4 linked regions of the Saccharomyces cerevisiae S288C genome follow. Changing the gene in region 2 together with the main gene of any one other region gives a genetic interaction. Each region holds a gene or a part of one and is shown on either strand. Other genes may lie near its edges.

Region 1 (5,157 bases), on a different chromosome or scaffold from region 2:
AGACATTTTTATAATATTATTTATTTATCAAATTTTATATTGAATAGGTACCATCAAGTTATGCACACATTCTTCATTAAAATACAGTCTGTAAATAATTGTGAATATGGGCGACCTGAATGATGTTCTTATTATCTCAAATATTTCTAATTTTTTTTAATCATTTTTGTTTCTTTAAGAGCAATTAATTTACAGAGCGGGGAACAGTGGCCAATTTTTTGAGCTAAAGAACAGCATAACAACAAAACAACAGAAAAAAAACACAGCGAGTCTAGTGCAAGTACGTCGGCAAAGTAAAACACAAAGGAGATGAAATTGCACGGCTTTTTATTTTCCGTATTATCAACATGCGTCGTCATTTTACCAGCGTTGGCCTACAGTGAAGCTGTCACGATGGTCAAGTCGATTGAGCAGTACTTCGATATCTGCAATAGGAATGATTCTTACACAATGATAAAATACTACACTTCTTGGTGCCAACATTGTAAAACTCTGGCCCCAGTATACGAAGAGCTTGGTGAGCTATACGCCAAAAAAGCTAATAAAGATGATACCCCAATTAACTTCCTTGAAGTTAACTGTGAATTCTTCGGGCCAACTTTATGTACCGACTTGCCTGGATTTCCAATAATTGAACTGGTCAAACCTCGTACTAAGCCCTTAGTTCTTCCGAAGCTCGATTGGTCGTCTATGAAATTTCATGAAAGACTATGGCAAAGAATCAAGACGTGGTTCAACAATCCTAAGTACCAACTGGATACGTCTAGGGTTGTTCGTTTTGAAGGGAGTAGGAACCTAAAGAGTTTAAGCAACTTTATCGATACTGTAAGAAGTAAAGATACAGAAGAAAGATTCATAGAACATATTTTCGATGATTCTAGGAATTGCAATGAAGAATTACGTTCTCAACAGCTTCTGTGTAAAGCTGGTAAAGAATACTACTCTGATACTTTATCTAAATTATACGGTGACGTGAATGGGCTGGAAAAGGAAAGGCGAAGACTAGAAGCTTTAATTAAGCAAAATGGAGATGACTTGAGTAAAGAAGTTAAAGAAAAACTGAAAATCATTCGTCTACAATTGAGCCTATTATCACACATAGAAGACCAGTTAGAAGATACCAGTAGTCATGACGAGCTTTGAACATAAGCTTCGCTCTGTCTTTTACTTTACGAATACCGACTACAGACGGAAGCGGGACCCTCACCCTGAGGTACAACAAATACACAGATACATATATATTTAACAATGTACGTTAGCCGCAATATAAGTGAGATTGTGTAGGTGAAAGATTATGGAGATATACATAAATATTACAGAAGGTCTACCACATGTGTTTTGAATATTGGCTTGTGCTAAGGTAACACTGTTATTTTATTCATTAGAGAAACATCTCTTACCCTGTTTGGTTTTGGTATAATCTCCAATTACGTACATGAAAGATGGCTTTATATAAAAAGCCTTTAATTCGAAAAAAGAATAAATGTCTTAGGGAGCTTATTATCGTACTTTAATTCAACTTAGGAAATCAGCACTCTCCACTCCAAATCTTCGGTTTGAAATAATGGAAAATCAAGGTGGAGATTACAGCCCAAATGGGTTTTCAAACTCAGCAAGCAATATGAATGCGGTTTTTAACAATGAAATCACCGGTAGAAGTGACATTTCAAATGTAAACCATCAAACTGGTACCCCACGTCTGGTTCCTGAAACTCAAATATGGTCGATGCCTGTGCCAGATCAACTGATGACGATGCCTAACAGAGAAAACACCCTTATGACAGGTAGTACAATAGGTCCAAATATCCCCATGAATGTGGCTTATCCCAATACAATATACTCGCCAACAGAGCATCAGTCGCAATTTCAGACACAACAGAACCGTGACATCAGCACGATGATGGAACACACTAACAGTAATGATATGAGCGGCTCTGGTAAAAATCTCAAGAAACGTGTATCAAAGGCCTGTGACCATTGCCGAAAAAGAAAAATCAGATGTGATGAAGTGGACCAGCAGACCAAAAAATGTTCAAACTGTATTAAGTTTCAGTTGCCTTGCACTTTCAAACATCGTGATGAGATTCTTAAGAAGAAAAGAAAATTAGAAATCAAACATCATGCAACACCAGGGGAATCACTTCAAACCTCAAATAGTATTAGCAATCCTGTAGCGTCTTCTTCAGTACCGAACAGTGGAAGGTTTGAACTTTTAAACGGTAATTCCCCCTTAGAAAGCAATATCATCGATAAAGTCTCCAATATTCAAAATAATCTTAACAAAAAAATGAATTCAAAGATTGAAAAATTGGATAGAAAAATGTCTTACATTATTGACAGTGTGGCTAGACTTGAGTGGTTATTGGACAAGGCTGTTAAAAAGCAGGAAGGCAAATACAAGGAAAAGAACAATTTGCCCAAACCAGCGAGAAAAATATACTCTACGGCACTTTTAACTGCTCAAAAACTCTATTGGTTCAAACAAAGTTTAGGAGTGAAAGCGTCCAATGAGGAGTTTCTTTCTCCAATCAGCGAAATATTAAGCATATCTTTAAAATGGTATGCAACTCAAATGAAAAAATTTATGGATTTGTCATCTCCGGCTTTCTTCTCCAGCGAAATAATATTATACTCATTACCTCCGAAAAAGCAAGCAAAGAGACTTCTTGAGAATTTTCATGCTACCTTATTATCCTCTGTAACTGGTATAATATCGTTAAAAGAATGTCTAGACTTAGCAGAAAAGTACTACAGCGAAAGCGGCGAAAAACTCACATATCCTGAACATTTATTATTAAACGTGTGTCTCTGCTCGGGTGCATCTGCCACTCAATCAATTATAAGAGGTGATTCAAAGTTTCTAAGGAAAGATAGATATGATCCAACCTCCCAAGAGTTAAAAAAAATCGAAAACGTTGCCTTACTAAATGCCATGTATTATTATCATAAGCTGTCCACCATCTGTTCAGGTACAAGAACACTACAAGCTTTATTACTACTGAACCGATATTTTCAACTTACCTACGATACTGAACTAGCAAATTGTATTTTAGGAACCGCGATTAGATTGGCGGTTGACATGGAATTAAATAGAAAATCCTCTTACAAGTCACTAGACTTTGAAGAAGCCATAAGGAGAAGAAGAATGTGGTGGCATTGTTTTTGTACAGATAAACTATATTCTTTAATGTTATCCAGACCCCCTATTGTGGGGGAACGCGATATGGATATGCTAACAGATCAAAATTATTATGAAGTGATAAAAACTAATATTCTACCTGATCTTATTGATAAAAAGGAAGATCTCGATAAAATTACTGATGTCAACTCTGCATTGAATGTAGTTGTAAATTTTTGTCAGCACATATCCCTTTTCATATCATATTATGTTTCAAAATTGGTTAGTATTGAGAGTAAAATATACTCTACTTGTTTTGCTGTCAGAAGTACTCTAGATCTTTCATTCGATGCCATGCTTGATAAAATCAAAGATCTCAATGATTCTTTGAACAATTGGAGAGACAACTTGCACGTAAGTATGAAACTAAAAAGTTATAAACAGTATTTATCGGTACTTTACGCTCAAAAATCCCAAGAAAATCCGGCTTTAAGTTTTGAGATTGCATGCTCTCGTGTTTTGAATTGTCATTTTAGGGCGCTATATTCTAAAGTGATTTTGAGCATGATGACTACATCCTTATTGATTGATAACGAACGCCTATACAAAGGTTCTCGCCATGATATTCCTCAGCTATTCATTCTTTTTTCAAGTCAATACTTAAACGCCAGTAAAGAAATGTTACAGCTGTTTCAAGGCATCAATTACCAGGCGCATATGTATAACGAGGTTATGTATCAGTTCTCTACTGCTATGTTTGTTCTCTTCTTTTACGTTGTGGATAATATGAACGATCTAAAAAAGAAAGGTGAGGTAAAAGAGATCATCGATATCCTAAAAAAATCTTATGATCGATTAGTGGGAGAAAATGATGAGCAGTTACTGTTTGACAATGTCAAATGGAACACTTTGATTGTGTTCTACAGCCACTTTTTGAAATACGTTTTGCAACGTTATCATGCTTTGAACGATTCTACGTCAATATTTGATTCTAAACCTTATGATGAAACGATAACGAAAGTTATTATGCATTCAAGAAAGATAAAAGATGAAACAGTCGATCAACTAATTATGAGTCTAAAATCATATGGTTCTCTCCATTCTTTACAAAAGGGCAACGAAGCCGATCTCGCCGATGATGGACTGAATACGAATGATATTTCTTCAGAAGACTTTGCGGAGGAAGCACCAATAAACTTATTTGGAGAGTTATCAGTCGAAATTTTAAAACTATTAAAATCTCACTCCCCCATCTCAAATTTTGGAGACCTATCGCCATCTTCAAATAGGAAAGGAATATCTGATGACTCATCTTTGTACCCAATTCGTTCGGACCTAACATCTCTTGTTTATCCCATCCATAGTTCTGATACCGGAGATACTCTTTCCAGTGGTCTAGAGACCCCTGAAAATTCTAATTTTAATAGTGACAGTGGAATAAAGGAAGATTTCGAAGCTTTTAGAGCCTTATTGCCTTTAGGAAAATTGATCTATGACAGAGATTATTCTTTCGTGAACACTTTTAGGGATTATGAATAAACTGTACCTTGTCTACAAAGATTGTAAAAAATAAAAATTCTTTCCCAATGCATATTATATGTACTATTTGTATCTATATATTATCTATCGATTCTCACTTAAGATGTCGTTGTAATATTAATTATAACAACAAGGCTTTTATATATTTCAGGTAATTATCGTTTTCCTTTTCTGGTTCATTTGCTATAGCACGCAATAGCTCTTGTATTTTATGCTGGGAAGCTTCTTCAGTAATTTTGCTTGGGTCATGTAAACCCTCCTCCTTCACTTTTCTAATCCACTCTTTCAGTAAAGCCTTCAAACGAATATTACCTTCGTTAACTTCCTGTAATGATAGCTTAGCTTTTTTCAAATCTTCATTATTAGTTTTTAGATCGTCCAATTCATTGGCTTTACGTTTAGCCATTTTAACAATTTTTTCTGGAAATTGAACAACTTCTGCAACATGAATACCAAAAGACTGATCTGAAATACCAGGCTCAACTTTGTATAACAACGTG
Region 2 (5,711 bases):
TTTTCAACAAAATCAGCAACGTCTTCGACTTCGCAGCTACTAGAAGAACTGTTAATACCATTATAAATGTTCTGTAACTGTAAGAAGTCCGTCATGAAGCATATTCTTCCACTCCGTTTGTCTGAAAATATTGAATCCGAATATGGCTGTACTATCTGGCTAGATCCCGTCGGCCGTGGGCTTATTAAACTCTTTAATAACGATATTATTGTTGGGCTCGATCTTTGCGGGGTGTCTACAATGAAAAGTCTATGTTCTGGAATATTATTCTTGATTGTCATCAATATCTCAATTAATTTAGTGGGGATATAAAGTTCTTTACCAGGACTTACATGGGATCGATCATTGAACATTTGTTCTAATGCAAGTTCACATGAGTAGTCAATGGCGCTATCAAAGCTCTTGGATTTTTGTCCATTCTTATTGATATCCACAAAGCACTGTTGCCACCCTTTGTCATCTGAAGAGTACCTTACTAAATCGTGGGTTGTGTATTTTATAACATCATTAAGCATCAAAATTTGGATTGGATCCTCTATGTGAAATTTTTTCTGTAAAAAATATGGGGAAACCGGATAATCTTGTACCAAACTGACTGATCCAGGTATTCCGTCTAAGAGCTTCGAAGGTATTTTGTCACACTTGTATAGAGGTACCATGAAATATTTTATTTTCTGGAACATGTTATCAGATAAAGTAGACTTGAGATATGACATTAAATTTTTGCAAATCTGAATTGCTTGGGGTAAATCCGTGTAAATATTCACAATGTTAAGATCGTAATAAGGATAGTCATTTAATTTGTAATTAACCAGTAGCCATTTGGCAAGGCATTTGCTAAATTGTGGCTCACAGTCAAGAATGTTATCAAATGAAAAGGGTTCTTCTTTTGCGGTTGTAGTTACAGGCTTCCTTTGCGTAAAAAAATTTTCTCTTTTCATTATGTTTGGGAAATTTTGCCACTCTATGTAATCTTTCAAAGAAATTCTCGCAGTTTGGCCTCTTCTTATCCCATTTGTAGAGAGTAATTGCTCGAAAGTAAACAGTGGGTAATCAGATTTCAGATGAACTTGAATTCTCAAGGGGTGTAATCTTTTCATCATTCAATCCCGCCAAAAGCACCTTTAAATGATATCAACTTTTTTGTGAAAATATTAGTAAGCTATTTAAAACGGGAAAGAAAACTTGAGAGAGGACTGACGAGGGAATCATGTTTATATTCGGATCATCGCGAATCTACGCAATGGTGTATCCTACTTTCTCACATTTTGGTTTTTCCCGCTTTCGGAAGGAACTGCAAAACCGCCGAGAGGACTTTCTCTTTTTGCAATATTTGAAGTATATACCAATAATTAAGAAGGTGAACAGGCATTTTACATATTCATTATAGATAGTGTATGTGCGCATCTATTAGTTGTGGTTTTCTGCTACAAAAATTTATCGTCTAAATAATTCAAGTTCTTTTTCTAGGTCGAAGAAAAAATCGCTGTCATCCTCATTTGTATTTTGGTTTGTACCATCATTGACATTTATATCGTGACCTGGGGGAGACGATGAAACTGGGCTCATTTTTGTTATATTTGGCTCAGTAGGTCCGTTCAGTAGTTCACTATTTTCATGCTTAGTATCTTGTTTGAAGGTGTTTTCCTTTTAGTTAACACCCTGAAATGAATTAGAGCTTATTCCCATAAGGTTTTGATATGGCTGGGTTGTAGTTAGTGATGGAAGTTGGCTTACATAGGAAAATTCAGGACTATAACTGGGTAAAACTTTCCTAGAAGGATGGACCTGTACAACTTCTTGAGGAATGGCATCCTCTAAAGATAGTGATGATGATGGGGAATCACCGCTAATAGGATGTTTTCTAACAACTTTCCTGAAATCAAATACTTCCTTTATAACTTCGTTTCCTAATTCCGCCATACTTTCGATATGCTCGAATTCGAATCTAAAGGTCTTTTGACATGAGAATTCCTCATCTATATCATGCCACATTGACAAATATGGATGCTCTAGTGCATCCTCTACAGTAATCCTTTTTTTAGGATCAAATTCTAGCATTTTCTTTAGCAATTCAAGCGCTTCTGGATTAGCACCAGGTAGTATGCTTTCAAACGATCTTCCCGGGATATTACCGAACTGAAAGATATAATTATACACCTTTTGAGAGGCAATTTCCTGCAATGTTTCCTCAGGTGGTGTTCCAAGTATTTGTAGAATATGATTCAAATGATCTACATAATCCTTCCCTTCAAACATTGGTTTCCTACCAAGTAGTTCGGCCAAGATACAGCCTGTTGACCAAATATCGACAGCTTTTGTGCATTCTTGATAATTCAGCAAAATTTCTGGTGCTTTATACCATATCGAGGTTATATAACCCTTAATGAAGCCGTCGTTAACCTTGTGGTTTTCTGAATAACTACACGATAGCCCAAAATTACAAATTTTTAGTTGGCAATCACTATTAACAAGTAAGTTTTTTGGTTTCAGGTCACAATGTAAAACATTAGCAGAATGTATGTATTTCAGAGCACACAGTATCTGATATATGAAGCTTTGAAAGTGTGCGTCTTCCAGGCGTTGTTCGGACCTTATAATTTGAGAAAGGTCACATTCCATTAGTTCTTCATATAAATAAACGCCATTTAGTGCCCCATTTGGGTAAAATACTATATCAGTATCGAAGAGCCACACTATATTTGGGTGCCCTCTTAAATGTCTTAGTAGTTTCAATTCACGAAGAGTTCTCTTGCAAGATAGTTTATTGCCAAACGCGTTTGGTATTTTTCTGATAGCCACGTGAGTTTCCTCGTTCGATTCTGTGTAAGTTGAAGAACAAATAAGGCTGTGTGAGCCCCGACCAATCTTACCTGTCAAATGAAAATGTTTATTTAGGATAAAATCTTGGCCGAATGCACGGAAAATACACCTCTCGGTGTCAGTCGCCATTTAATTGTGAATCTTTCTTCGATATCAAACTATTCCAGGCCGAATTAATCTGGCGGTAAGTCACCTTTAGTTATCCTTCCATTTTGTCCCTTTTCATCCAGTCTCAAACGACAATTAGGACTTACATTAAATAGGCTTTTTGCCTAGTATAACATCATAAAAGTACCTTCTTTTGTTTCTTCCAAAAAAAGACAGTAACCATCTGAAAAGAACGTCATTGTCGAAAATTACAAAGTTTGTGGCAGCGCTTTTTACTGCAGCAAGTCAATTGCTTTCATGGCATTTTCAATCAAAATACGAGTTCTTACTAATTCCTACGGTGCTTCCTGCATTGATTGATCGCGAGTTACTATTTTTAACTCGAATGGGTCTGCGCGTGTTTCTCCGGTGTTGTTCAAAATAATCTGTTTGCTGCGTTTAATAACTACAACAGTTAACGGAAACAGTGAAATTTATTGGGGACTTTCAAGTAACGAATAATCATGCTGGTAGAAATATTTCTATTTTTATAATTAACAAATCTTTTAATGACGTCTTGTGGGCTGAAAACTACGGCGTTTATTTTTTAGATAGGTTATTCCTTCGTTGGATTGAGTAAGAAAATGTCGATACTGTGTTACGTTTGCAAGGAAAAGATTTAGTTGCGATTAGCCATTCATTCTTGTGGAAACTTCTTTAAAAAGGGATGGCGATGGAGTACTTATGTCCAATTATGAAGTCAAATTTATTTTCAAACCGTTACACGTAGATTATTTTCCTGCAGTGGTAAGTATCTTTGAAGTGTTGAAAGTTTTTTGGCACATATTTTTTTGCGGATGTGGGCCTGAGTTTCCTGTTAGAAACAAAGATATGCTTAAAACTAAATAACATTGGAAATTAGGGCATAGTCTTCAATGTTATACTTAAACATCACAGCAGGAGATTGAGATGATTGAAAGAATGGTGCAAGAAATGATTCATTAACATTCTTCCAAGTTTTGCAATATTTGCAAGTATTACTATCAGACTTTAGTTGAAGTGACTATGCTATTACCAAATTTCACTGGAGCCAGAAAAATAAAGATCACTTAGAGACAAAGAAAAGTAACATCTTCAACATAAGCCGGAGCTCAAAAGTAGGAAATCGGATAAGAAACTTGATTCTGTTATTTCAAGTGATTTTTTGCTGTATCGCCCACGTTCTTGTTGTAGATGTTTTGTAGATGTGGGACCGAAAGTAAGTGAACAGTGAAGTAAACAGAATAGGATTCTAAAAAAGAGCTTATAAACTGTTCTTTAAAATTTTTTCTTTCGTGAATGTCCTCGAGCTATCTCAAAGAAAACGAAATCTTCATTCAACTTAAGTGTAGGTATTATTTGCTGTTTCATCAAATGCGGCACCAAAGTGGAAGTATTCTAGTCAGTTAGTTTTTCATTGTGAGGAATTGATATGTCGTTCTCTGATAGAACCACGCTAAGTTGGTGTTCAATTTTTTGCAATTCGGTAGTAATTATGCCTTGCAACATGTTTTATTCTTTTATAGTGTGATACCGTCAATATGATGATTTGCGGTGGAGCATGCATGTGCTTACTAGAAGTGCTGCTCTGGTGGGCATTTTAGGGACAAGAATAAATTCTTCTCTCCACTATCTGAACTTCCGTTATTCTTCTGCACGTAATTGCCGTTTTTAGGATTTTTTGGAGTTGTCACGGTATAGATATGTCTTATTGCGTGATTTCACGGTGTCTTGCACACAACATTTCCAGGTCACAATATTTGGTTCGAGGTTCCCAGCAAGAATTCATTATCCTTTTCAATGTGTCGCATTAAATCATTATCCAAAAACAAAAGAACTTAAGAAGTACAAAAGACACTTGAAGTATGCTAGCGTAAGAAATACGGTAACCAATATTTATATGTAACATGCTTATTCTGTCATGATTTCACAGTTCAAACTACATTCCTATTCAAAATCATCGCGTTAGTGAGACAAAATCGGTGGGAGAGATGTTAGACAAAAAGATGACAACATTGGAAATAAACCACGACGAAAAATACCTTTGAAAGGATCTTTTTTCGATTTTCCTGTGAATTTGTAGGCTTTTGATGGTACGAGGGTAAACCAAACTGGACGGGAAATCACCATTATTAGTCCTATGTAGAGCCTCGTCACCATACCTATATAAACATAACTATTCTTTTAAGTACTTAAACGGCTTTTTTCTGAAACAAATAGCCAATGTTTTCATAACGAAGATTCCAAAGTTACTTAACGCTCTTCAGGCACTTCCTTATTTATTATGACACGTACAAAATAATAAATTCGTAGTTATAAGATTATCTTATCATATTTAAAATATCTCTTCTTTCAGTTGAAATTGGGCCCAAAATTTTTACCCCATAGCGTTAAAATTAAACAAAAACTGCTATTTCGGTGACAAATTGTAAAAATTCTGAAAACGGAAGAAACAAAAACGTTTAAAATGATTAAACTTTGGTAAAGCAATAATCTACAAATAATTGGAAAAGGAATAGTAATAAAGATGGGGAGAATTATGAAGAAGAATGTCATAAAAAACACTGAAAACAATTAACGAGCCATGGGTAAAAGAAAGAAGTCAACAAGAAAGCCTACCAAGAGACTGGTCCAAAAATTAGATACGAAATTCAATTGTTTATTTTGTAATCATGAAAAATCAGTTTCATGCACTCTGGACAAAAAAAATAGTATAGGAACTTTATCGTGCAAGATTTGTGGGCAGTCGTTCCAAACGCGCA
Region 3 (5,818 bases), on a different chromosome or scaffold from region 2:
TGATGCCCATAATGAAAAACAATCCGGAAAGTACTGCCTGAGGGATTTCTCCTAAGCATACCAATAACGGTCTTGTCATTGTCCCTAGAATCATCAGGCCCTGAAACGTATTTGTAAATCTTTGCTCTACGCAACTGATAACCTTTTGGTTTGAATCCCTAACTAGCAGTGTCTCTGTGTGCAATGGTGCTTGAGGAATCAAACCATTGGGCGCCGGGATTCCTAGAACCCCGCTGATGCAAGTGGTAAGTCCCAATAGTGCGAAATCGTAATGAAAAGAGGATGGTTTTTTCAGCTTATACTGATGCCTTTGTGCCATTAGCGACGATACGTTATGATCAAAGTAAAACAAGATTGTTAAAAATATACCAAATGGTAGGGCAATAAAGACGTCTTTAACAGGAATCGGTTCATATGCCAGCCAAGTATTTTGAGGCCTATTGACTTTGGAAGTAGGAAAAAAAGCTTTCGTAATAGGCAATTTTTTAAATTTGACATCATGCAAGTAGCCACCAAAATGTGTAAATGATGACCAGAATAGCACTGAAAGCGCAGTTGAATAATCAGATATGAATGTTCTGATCCTATGAGAAAAGAGGGGGTAATAATGAAATAATTTAAAGAAAAGACCAAACGCAGTCATAACCAGCGCCACCACGACACTAGCAAATCCGTCTTGTACTGATTTCTCCCCTGATTTAGCACTGAACTGTCTTGTTAAAATTTGTATTCCTTTTTGAATGTAGACCACATTAATAAATAATCCAAATATGTCACATGGGAACGTAGTCACGTATTGCAAGAGGCAAACGGCGTTCGTAAATGCTAAAACTAAATGAAAAATCATAGACCACATACAAATCCAAAACATGAAGCCAAAATAGCTGGTATTCAAAGGCTTTATAATTTCGTAGACCGTATAATTAAAAATAGAGATGGGGCCAGTAACACCCACTATACATAAGGGCTGTCCACCAAGAACTCCAAAAACAATTCCAGCCATTGCACTGGATAGAAGTACTTCGTTCACACCATAGGAATTATCAGTCCTATCAAACATATCTTGCGCAAAGGCTATTGCAGGTAGCAGGTTATTAAAGTAGGTGTCAACAATAGAGGGAATAACTCTGTAATTAAACGCATCTACCCAATCTGACTTGTAATACGGTATTCTGTCCTTCAAATCGAGCCATATGCCTATACCTAGCGTCGGGAATCGACGTCGGGATAACTTCTCGTGGCTCTCTTCATCACTTCTACTTTCTGATACCGATGATTCTCTGTCTAGCTCATCGTTTGTCCGTTCCAATGCTTGCGCACACTCGTCGGAGGCTGTACAACCGCGACTAACGGTAACTCGTGTGCTCTCATTCGACATGCCTTGCCAGCGCTATTACTACTTTTTGGATGATAAAGGATATGAGTATGATTATTGCGATATGCTTACTTTTACGCCACGAGTGATCTAAAAATTACTTCAGTGATGTATTTTCCCCGCTAAACGAAAAAAGTTTGAAGTAAGCTAAGGCTACAGGGAGAAGAACAGTTGTTCATGTAATGTCGAGTGGCAACGCAAGAGTGGCTGTCTACAAGTGCGGTCAAAATGTGGAAAGCTCTAAAGCACTAGCTATTACTCTTCTGTTTTTTTTTTTTTTTTTCATTCTTCTTTCGTTTTTTAACAACGAGGACAAAAAAGAGAAATCTACTACTACCGTTAGTGTTACTAGAAACTTTGTTATAGTTAATTAATGCTGTTTGTCTATATATAAATATAGATATAGATATACATGTACTGGTTTATCTATGTTATGCCTGAGGTATGTGTGGTATCTATCCCTACCAGTTGGTAACTTCTTCGGCCTCACCAAAGACAGACGTCTTCGTTTCATCGTTACCAACGTCACCTCCCCAAGCTCTTGGAGCGGCATCGGTAATGGCCTTGCAGTTGGTTTTTAAAAATTGTACTATCAGTTTGTTTATCAGCTTAAACTCCAATAGGAAGGCATCGTGGCCTTCGGGAGATTCAATTTTTTCTAATTGCGACTTCGGTATGTGCTCAGCCAAAAATTCTTGTTCTGAATATGTGAACAGTCCATCAGATTGGATACCGATGATCAGGGATGGTTGTTGGATGGTAGAAAGGACCTCAGTGATGTCATCTACTCTGTCTCTTGCCAAATCGTGCGTATCCAGTTTACGTGTGATGGCAATGTAACAATTGGCGTCGAACCTATTGATGAACTTTGTGCCCTGGTACCTCAAGTAACTTTGTGCAGAAAAATACGTCTGCGCAGGCTTTATGTCCTTCACTTCACCCGTTACAGAACTTACCGAAGTCATCGATGTTGAAGAATTCAATGAATCCGAAGAAGATGCGGTGGACACCACGCTTTGACCTTTTTGCCCAGAAATGCCAGCGATGGCAGTGCTGGCTTTTGTTTTATACCCATCATTGTGGATTTGTAGGGAGTGTTCGCTGACAGTAGATGGTTTGCGTGTCTCCTCCCTTTGAGCTTTTTGTTGTTGTGCTATTGAAGGAGATCTTCTGGAGAATTTGTTCTCGAAACTGTTTCTTGTCCTGTACGTCAACAATGCAGACATACGTGCAGCCGATAGTCCGGCCACAGGTTGCTCCTCTACCGGATAGTACCCGTCCAAGTAGTTGGGATCTGAGTAAATCGATTGTCTTTGAGCCTCAGACCACGATATGCACCAGGCAGAATGTCTTGCTGATGTCGCCAGAGCAACCATATTCTTCACATATTCCTTACCATACATGGCAGCCCATTCCAAACTCAGCATCCCCCCCATAGAGCCACCAATAACACAGGCTATTGACTTTACTCCCAGAGAATCCAGAACAATTCTGTGAGCTCTAACGTCATCGCGCACAGTACATAATGGGAATTCGGGTCCATATCTAACGCCCGTCTCCTCATTTATCGTTAATGGCGAAAAAGACCCATATGGAGAGCCCATAGAGTTTAAACATATGATAAAAAACCTTGATGGGTCGAATGCTAAGTCGTTACCCAGAAGAGGGCCCCACCAGTCAGCAACATCTGCGGACCCAGTCAAGGCATGACAAATTACCAGAACATTATCACCAGCTTCATTCAGTGTACCCCACGTCTTATAAGCAATAGGGAAATTATTTATGACCACGCCAGACTCAAGCACTAGTTCCGGAACTTGAACAATCCTCTGCCCTTGAACTAGTTTGAGCAATGGGTTAGTTTCCTTAATCTCCTCAATGTCCAGCTCTTGGAGCGTTTTCGATTTTAAAGTATGCGACATTCCTTTTATACTACGTTTTTTTCTTTCTTTTCTATTATTCCAAATAAAGAGAAACTTTAGACGGACCCTGTGACTAAAAAAATTATCGAAGACTTGACTGTTCTAGAGTTACTTTTGTTTATTAAAAGCAAGAAATATCCGTGAACAAGATAGCAGGTAGGTTGTACAACGAAGCGGAAGCTCATCTATTGGACGCAGCTGTATTTTGAATATATATATATATGTAATGTGTATATTTGTGGGTGTGTGCCAAATCCAAACGATTAACATGACTTAGTTTACTATCAAATGAGTGCATCCACAATTTTTTGCAGGCAATGTGTGGCGCCTTCCGCAGTGAGGCGCATCACGTGAAAATACGTCAATGTGGGGAGCCACTAACAATAGCAAGAAATAAGTACAAGTAATAGCATAACCTTGACAAACTGAACTAATGTAAGCGTTTTTCATGACTAGTGCTTTGAAGTACAATTTATACTGCTCAGAGGCTCATTCGATTGTGTGTTTTTAGCAACTTTATGAAGAGAGTGAAAAGAAATATCACGTGATTATTAGTAGTCTGCGATTTTTTTTTTTTCAGTTTTTTTTTTCCCACTAATACTGGCAGAGAGCGTAAAGGGGGCAATATATGGCACATCTTTACTGGCTGTCCATAATAGGCAAGTGTCATGTGCCCTAACAGAAAAAAAGTTAAAAATTGCCCGGAGAAAATACAAGAATCTGTCTAAATGTATATTTACGGATGAGACACTACTTATATAGTTTAGTTATTATCATGAAGTATTATTACAATCGTGCCCAGAAAGTGAGATGAAAAACTGGGATACGGAAGCCTGGCGCTTGTTTCTTTTCTTAATTGTCTCTCTTTTTGTAAAATTACAACCAGTCGGTCGAGTTACTGGGCATATGGGTTCTTCGTAGTTGCAGATGGCATGAACTGTGAGAATCCGTCCTTCTTTTGTGGACGGGCTTGGGAGTTTTGCAATTGTGGTGCCGGCGGACGATAGTAACCAGCACTACCGTTTTGAGGCTGGTTCAGGTTAGGGGGCGGACGGTAGTGTGCGGATGGTGAGTTAGGTGTAGGCCATGGCTGCTGAGGCCTAGTATTGTAGTTGACGTTAGCTGGCTGAAATGGTGGTGCTGCCCCAGCATATCCGCCAGGAGAGCCCATGTGCGTATTCATCGCATAAGGTTGGTACGGGCGATTGGGCTGCTGCAGGATAGGCATGGGCACCTGCTGCGGGTGATATTGCGCTTGCATGTTTGGCCTGTTCCCCGTTGAGTATGGGTTTCCGGGGAGATGATATGCTTGTGGTTGTGTATCTGAGGGATGAGGACGTTGGTAAATATTTGAAGGCGAGGGGCGGTTATTCCATCCCTGATTGTATGGACCTGGTGGCGCTCTCGTCTTTGGATTCCTGGGCGAACCCATTGCCGAGTTGTTTGCACCATACATTTTGTTAGGACTATTAATGTTTGCTGGCTGCACGTAGGAGGAAATCTGCTGGCCTGATGGGACTGGCTGGCCCCTCTGAGGGGTAATGCTACGATCAGTTTTGCTGTGGGTGTGAGTGGTATTCAACCTTGTGCCAGGTTTCGCGTATGGGTTACCTATTTCCAGCGGGTTGGAGGGTTTCTCGGGAGACCGCTTTGGCACTTCATGTCGTGATCTGTGTTCCGTTATGTATTGTCTCTCGATATCGTCATCGGGGGTTATGCCCAATCCAGTTGATTGAAAGGCCGCAGGGACCTTAGCTAAGGGTGTTCTATCATCCTTGTTGTAGTCTCTTTCTTCAGCACGCAATTGGTCTTGTGCCATAAAATCTGGGTCGAACAGGTTCATATCGTCCTCGTCGTTATTGTTACCAAAATCCACTTGTGAATATGACCCGTTTATTCTGTCCGAATCGGAGTTTGAATTTATACTTTCCATGCCTAGTTCATTAATTCTTTGGGTTAAACTATTTAATTCTTGTAAAACGGCATGTTCTTCCTCATTGCCATTAGAAAAGTCACTTGGTGTAAAGGATTTTCTTGAATTGTAGTTGCTCTCTGAATGAACTGACGCCCGTTGAAAACGAAGGTAAGTTTCATCAGAAGATCCGTTAAGACCCTCAGTGTGACCAAAGGGACCATTGGAGTATTTTTCGTAGATTGCAGACAAATCTGATTCCACAGAGAGCTTCTTCTCATTAGAGCATTTAGAATCCACAGACAACAGATTTTTGTCTGTCATGAACTTGTCAAAATTGGACTCGGGAATTTCTAACTTCATATTCCGGACCTTTTCCAAACTTTCGTCCACGTTCTTACCACAAGAGGTTTCTCCTCTTTCAAATTTCTCAGGAGTGGTCGCTTTCCTGTCGTTATTATTGTAAGGAACTGTCCTCGACTTGGCTCTGTCTGATGGTGAATCGTTTACAGATGACGCAAACGGCTTGGGATGTCTTTGCTTCGCATAAGGTGAACCTTCTGTCACTCTTGTTCTGAAGGATGCATCAGTAGGTGTGTGGACTTTGTG
Region 4 (6,419 bases), on a different chromosome or scaffold from region 2:
CAACTGATATGTCCAACATTCTAAATATAACTTATTTTGGTATTAGCTGCATCATTCTACCATGATGAGCTGCGGCGTTCAATATCTCATTTTTTTTTGTTCGGGGTAACGAGGTTCATTGTTGCAAATAGCACGACCAAACGAGCGGTATGATACAAAGCACTGCAAGTCATAGCTGAGGTAAAAAAAAAAAGAATGAAGATCTCATTGTTTGGGTTAAATTACTTTCAAGAGCCTCTTTTTTAGGCTCGGTTGGTTAAAAGAGCAAGAACCGAAACACTAGTGCATCAATTTTTATAACAATTTTGTAATTATGTTGATAATTGGCAGTAAAGTTACAAAATACACACTAATTAAAATATTGAACACTTACAATATAAAGCTGATATCAAAATAAATATCGAACAATAAATACAACTCTCTCCAATATCAATATACTGCCGTCGTTATTTAAAAAATTAGCCCACCTGGGAACATTATAGAAAGAGATTTGTTTTTTGGTCTGGCAATGTGTCATAATCAAGCTCTTTGCAATATACATCCCCAACTCATATATTTGTATACAGGAAGAAGAATCGACCACCATCTATCGACTAGCATATTATCATATACGGTGTAAAAAGATGACATAAAAGATGAGAAACAGGGTAATCCCAACAATTGTCTCAATATTTACCTATTTCTCACATTGTCACCGCTCGAAAGTGCATTTTATATACGTTCTTTTGTGACGACTACTTTTGGCGGGAATCTTAGCGCCTTAAATGCAGTGAAAGATTACTCTTTTGAGTTATTGCCTGAATTTTGTCTGCAAAATTGTTATTATTCAGGAATTTAGAATAATTCAACTCTGGAGGCCTGCGCTGTACTACGGGCTCAAGTAATACCGGAGTGTCTCGACAATCCTAATATAAACAGTCTTAGGGAAGTAACCAGTTGTCAAAACGGTTTATCAGATTAATTCACGGAATGTTACTTATCCTATATATTATATAAAATATGGATCATACTAAATGGTGGAAGCGCGGAACCTTGGATCTAAACTGTTGGAATAAGAATCCACTATCGTCTATCAACTAATAGTTGTACTATCAATATATTATCATATACGGTGTTAAGATGATGACATAAGTTATGAGAAGCTGTCATCGAAGTTAGAGGAAGCTGAAGTGCAAGGATTGATAATGTAATAGGATAATGAAACATATAAAACGGAATGAGGAATAATCGTAATATTAGTATGTAGAAATATAGATTCCATTTAGAGGATTCCAATATCATCGAGGAGAACTTCTAGTATATTCTGTACACCTAATATTATAGCCTTTATCAACAATGGAATCCCAACAAGTCTCTCAAAATACACCCATTTCTCATAAACCAATTGTTCAGGCATTTATACGTTTAGATAGCCCAGCTATAGAAGGCGGAGTTTTACCTCATGTTGCTCAATCTGTTCGTTTTCTTAGGTTTCATATGTGTTCTATGAACGTTCAGGATAATGTATTGTCATGCTGACGTATCCCATTCTGAGATGTAACGTCTGTACAAAACAAAGCTTCAGTAGCTCAGTAGGAAGAGCGTCAGTCTCATAATCTGAAGGTCGAGAGTTCGAACCTCCCCTGGAGCATTTTTGCCGAGCACGGTACTTTTTTTTATTCTCAGTAAATGAAATCCAAGGGCTCATTTATTTGAGAAAGTAAATAAGGTATTAGAGGTAATAAAGTAACCATGGGCCAAGAAGACATATTCATAAACTTATGAAAAAACTTTGTAGGTATTAATAACTTATGGGTAAATTACTATCTATGAATGAATATTTACTATTTACTAGTGCTCATCTGGATATTAATTTAGACTTTTCAACGTCTCTCTTATAATATTTGTACATTTATTAACATCATCATCATTAAATCTAGGCTTGCCATCTTCTTCGAACATATCTTCGTCAGTAAACAGGGTGCTATCAGTAGGTTCTTTAATGTTATTATTTTCCACCAATTCCGTCAGTAAAGTTTCGTCAAAGTTTTTGGGAAACGGCCAGCCTTGGTCTTTTATTATCTGTATCAAAGCCATATGCCTGATTTCAAAGCCCCCGAAGAGTATCTTATTGTACCAGGAGCGTGCTCCTTTTTCGTCTCTCATTTTGACATAATGCATTACCATTGCAGAACAAAATTTAAACGTTAAAGGCACCCCATTTTTATGCATCACCTGTAGCAATTCTGATAGTTCAGCCTGCGTTAATGTATGATTTTTATAGGCTACTATGGAAAAGGGACATAGCGTGGTAGTTAAAACCACTTTTTTGGCGAAAGGTTGAGAATAAAAATCCAGAAGAACATTGTAGGCCAGCCTTGGTTCACGAGCTTGGAATCTAATATAATTTAGGAAAACATTGAGGATTCCGGTATCATTTCTCCAATACCTGTATTTATGAGCTTCCTCGGAAAGAAAACTCTTGTACTTGTAATATAAATCAAGAAGACAATTCTTGAATTGACCACTTTCCAGTGAAACAGAACTCGAAGATAAAAGGCTTCTATACAGTTCAGTTAAAATTGGAACAGTCACTGGTGATCCTATTCGCATTGTGTTCGGTAGAATATTATTTTTGTTCTTCAGCTCTCTTGCTAACGTAGGAGCTGTCAAAGTCGTTGATTTTGAATGATAGAGCCACCCCCAAATCCCTAGGGCATTCAGAATATTAGCAGACGCCTTTGAGCTGTATGATGAGAGGAGATATTTACACACCAATTTCGGGTCACGAAAGGCTTGAAAAGATGCAATTAATTCACCCATTAAAAACTCCTTGAACAATTTATATTTCATCAGTGGGCTGCTTTGTAAGCAGGAAATTACATTGAAAAGCTCCTCCTGCCTATTAGATATTCGGAGCAGATTCAAGTAGTGGTGAATGGGAAAATTCAATATGTGTTCGTTTCCATCAATGTGATTAAGCAATCCTGAGCTTACAATGAATTTCAGTTCCTCTTGAAAGGTTTTGATGAATAACTCAACATTTCCACTTTTCAAAAGGTAATAAAGTAAGGTATTGTTGAACTTGACATAACGCAGGTTCTTTTGCTTTGCTCCATCTTTACCAGAATAACAGTGCTGTTCCAACTTCTGTAGTAGAGCTTGAATAAATACTTTAATGAACCTAAAATTTTTCGCCTTAACAAGGCCATTTACTAGAGCGATTAAGCTGTCAAATGTATGCAACTTCAGAACTTTTTCCATTATAAATTTTATGTTTGTCTCATCATGCAAAAATATTTGGAACGTGGCTAACTGCCTCTCCATCTCAGTTCCTTTTATCAGCCTATTGGTAAATCTCGTACAGTAGTTAGAAGTAAAGAGAAGAACATCACTTTTCAAAAGAAAAAGATAGTGATTAAAAGATTCTGATTTTGGAATATGATACCAGAACCATCTGTGGACCTCACCTGGTAGATAAAATCCAATTTTTCTTGCCACCTCTGGGTATAACTCGTGTTGATGCAAAATGATATCATATAAAAGTTTCTTCTTTTCATTTTCTGAGCAATTATTTATATGCAGGGCATTTCGTAGAGATTCAAAAAAAGAGGCGTATTCAGTTACTCCAAAAGTCTCACTTAATACAGTTTTCAATTGTCGGAGCTCGTATAAACGCTTCTGAACATTTTTCGAAGATCCGCTCTTCCTAGAACATGGCACCTGTCGTTCAAAATCGCCAAACTGCAAAGGTTCTGAACGATTTGATTTAATTTTCAATGGACAGTTTTTCGTAGATAAATGGCGCAGATTTGTAATAGGTAGAATTGTGTATGTCCCTGCGCTACCCATATGTTTAAACAGCGGTGAAGTGACCATTTGAGCCAAAGGCTGGGAATAGACACGGCATATACATTTTAACATGCCAATAAGAACATTAAAGTGAACGCTTGGAAGATTTGAAAGCCCATTCTTGCCAGTACGCCAATAAAGTGTGTCGCGCAGAATAGATCTTCATGTAATTCCTTTTTCCCTTTTATGCAATCTATAATGTTAATCAGCGTAGATCACTATATACGCTTTTTTTTTTTTTTTTCAGCTCCGATTAGAGAGCAAAAGAGATGTAACATCGATCCTGCTATAATTAGAATACAAGTGTTGATCTTTAATTGTACTGTTTCTGCGAAAGCTATCGAGCATTTGGCTGTATTCCACTGTCCATTGTATTTTTAACTCTCCTTTTTATCATTCTGAAACATAGAGCTGTTTTGACAAAATTCAGTTTTTTCTCAATTAGTGCTTTCATTCATACGTTCGTTACAAGCTTTGAATTTTAACTTTATTTTCGGGCTTCCACCTTTGCTTCATTATTTTACTTCAGCTCTTTAGCTTTCTGTGACATTCAATTTTATTGTATGACAGCACGTCGTTTGATTAATATAGTTCCTAATACGTCTAAGCTAGACCCTTTAAAGGAGGAGGACTCAACGCATCTGAAACAAAATCAACCTAAGAAGTTTTCCACAAAGGAGTTGATGCTTTCAGAATATACCGAACGCAAAAGTTGCAGCCTTCCGTTGTCTAAATCCCGATCAGGCAGTAGTGCATCCAGTAGCACTACAGGTTCGAACGGAAAGAATATTGGAACAAGACGCCCTAGCTCCAACCTAGATTTCAATTTCGCTAGCCAAGATGTTGTTAAAAATGTATTAGGTAATAATAATCCACACGTACCCACAGCGAAGTGCATTAGGCCAATATCAGATGATTCTATAGGTACATCGAGCACAGAGATATTTTCTTCATCGCACTCAAATACGACATCTGATTCTTTATGTACATCAGATATAAGCTCAGAAGAGGGTGAAATAGCAAACAGTAAGATGGAGGATAACTGCTTCTTCAAAAGTATGAGAGAAGCTGACCATAGAAGCAATATTACGCCCTTAAAGAAAAGCCGACCGGGATCAATACTACAGAAAACACGTACAGCAAGTAGCGCTGATAAAACAATCTGCTCAATGAGTACCATAACTACATGCATTCCATCTCGTCAAAATTCGGTGTCAACTCCTAAACTCTCCAGGACAGTAGGGCTGCCTGGATCGAGCAATACAACCAACAGTATAGCCGCATCACAAACTTCATTCATAAGCGAGAATGACTCTCCTCTTAAACATCATTGCATGAGTACCGCAACTATCCAAGAACCAAAACTCATGCCGATCACAAAAACGCCGTATGTGCATTCCAATAGTACTTCTGTAATATTACCATATAAAACAACCCAACTTACTCCTTCTCAACGTTACCGTTTAAGGAAAGAGCAAAATGACCAATCTTTGCGTAAAGCCATAAAAATGAAAGAAAAATTTTATGAAGATCAAGACGTTAACTTGGAACTTCAAGAGGGCGATGTCGACGGCTCGTTAATTTGGAACATTCCAATGGCATCTTTATCGACCAGTTCTTTTTTAACATTATCTAAGTTTAATAGAAAAGAAATGAGTTTAGATTCAGCGCGGGGGGATGAAGAGATATTAATACAGGAGAACAATTGCGAAGGCAAACAACACTCATCTTCGGCTCTCTGTGTGGACAAAACTTTCCATCAGGTTCATAGTACTAGAAAACATACATCAAATTCAAGTAACACTTTAAAAGAATCATGTCTGGACTATAAGGAGCTTCCGCCAACATGCATTCCTGGTATATCTCCTGTGTCTGATTCACAGTACATCCAGGATACAATGAAAAATCTCTCCCAAATATACCTGCATAGTTCCGAAAAAATCTCCAAAAGTATTCTTTCTGGTCGTTCAAGATCTGTACAGAGTTTACCACTGGAATTTAAAGAAGCCAGTAGTCAGGGAATGGAAGACCTAATGCTAGTTTCAGAGGACAAACTAAAGGCCGTAAGTCATTTCCGTCCGAGTTGGCTCCCGCCCAAGGATTTCAAAGAGAGGAAATTGCAAGATAAACAAATCTACAAAAATATCGACTTAGCATCAATGGAAGAGTTGCAAAAAAATAAAGAACGTGACGAAAAAGCCAAAAAGAATGAGCAGAATAAGGTCAAATTCCAGCATTTACTGGACCGAGGCATTACTCGTAACTCGTCATTAAGTGAATTAAAGAAAATTATTTGGGAAACACCTTTGATATCTAAAGTACGGCTTCAAATATATAGTCAACTTCTACAAAGTGACAATTGCTTGATAACAAAATGTTTTATTGAATCATTTGAGGAAGTAATGCAGCTACTCAACAAAATGGATTTTCCCAAAGATAAAGAATTTGAAATAAGACAGCTTATTGAACACGATGTACAGGAAAAGGTTTTTTATAAAAATGGAACAGATAAGCAAGTGGTTTCTGACTTGATGCTATTACTGCAACTGAAATCTATATCTCAACAAGGTTTGGTTACTGGTGATGAG

The links.
Region 1: mutations in KDX1 (region 2) and HAL9 together harm fitness more than expected from each alone (negative genetic interaction), as found in Saccharomyces cerevisiae (one large-scale study listed by BioGRID).
Region 3: of KDX1 (region 2) and MET2, extra expression of one impairs growth in a mutant of the other (dosage growth defect), as found in Saccharomyces cerevisiae (one large-scale study listed by BioGRID).
Region 4: mutations in KDX1 (region 2) and ATP22 together harm fitness more than expected from each alone (negative genetic interaction), as found in Saccharomyces cerevisiae (one large-scale study listed by BioGRID).

Annotation. Positions count from the first base shown.
Region 1 is NC_001147.6:149,898-155,054, reverse strand, and holds HAL9 (Hal9p), read left to right. Parts: upstream 1-1,564; coding exon 1,565-4,657; downstream 4,658-5,157. Other genes in the region: protein disulfide isomerase MPD2, read left to right, coding at 310-1,143; mismatch repair ATPase MSH2, read right to left, coding at 4,779-5,157. UniProt on the Saccharomyces cerevisiae protein: Putative transcription factor involved in halotolerance.
Region 2 is NC_001143.9:147,736-153,446, forward strand, and holds KDX1 (putative protein kinase KDX1), read right to left. Parts: upstream 2,953-5,711; coding exon 1,651-2,952; downstream 1-1,650. Other genes in the region: YKL162C (type II protein arginine methyltransferase), read right to left, coding at 1-1,103; ELF1 (Elf1p), read left to right, coding at 5,534-5,711. UniProt on the Saccharomyces cerevisiae protein: Serine/threonine-protein kinase involved in the SLT2 mitogen-activated (MAP) kinase signaling pathway that regulates cell wall integrity. May also be involved in the mating pheromone and the CWI MAPK pathways.
Region 3 is NC_001146.8:114,828-120,645, reverse strand, and holds MET2 (homoserine O-acetyltransferase), read right to left. Parts: upstream 3,298-5,818; coding exon 1,837-3,297; downstream 1-1,836. Other genes in the region: BOR1 (Bor1p), read right to left, coding at 1-1,378; YNL277W-A (uncharacterized protein), read right to left, coding at 3,779-3,967; CAF120 (Caf120p), read right to left, coding at 4,193-5,818. UniProt on the Saccharomyces cerevisiae protein: Commits homoserine to the methionine biosynthesis pathway by catalyzing its O-acetylation.
Region 4 is NC_001136.10:1,174,272-1,180,690, forward strand, and holds ATP22 (Atp22p), read right to left. Parts: upstream 3,904-6,419; coding exon 1,849-3,903; downstream 1-1,848. Other genes in the region: SBE2 (Sbe2p), read left to right, coding at 4,395-6,419. UniProt on the Saccharomyces cerevisiae protein: Translation factor specific for subunit 6 of the mitochondrial ATPase. Required for assembly of the CF(0) component of the ATPase.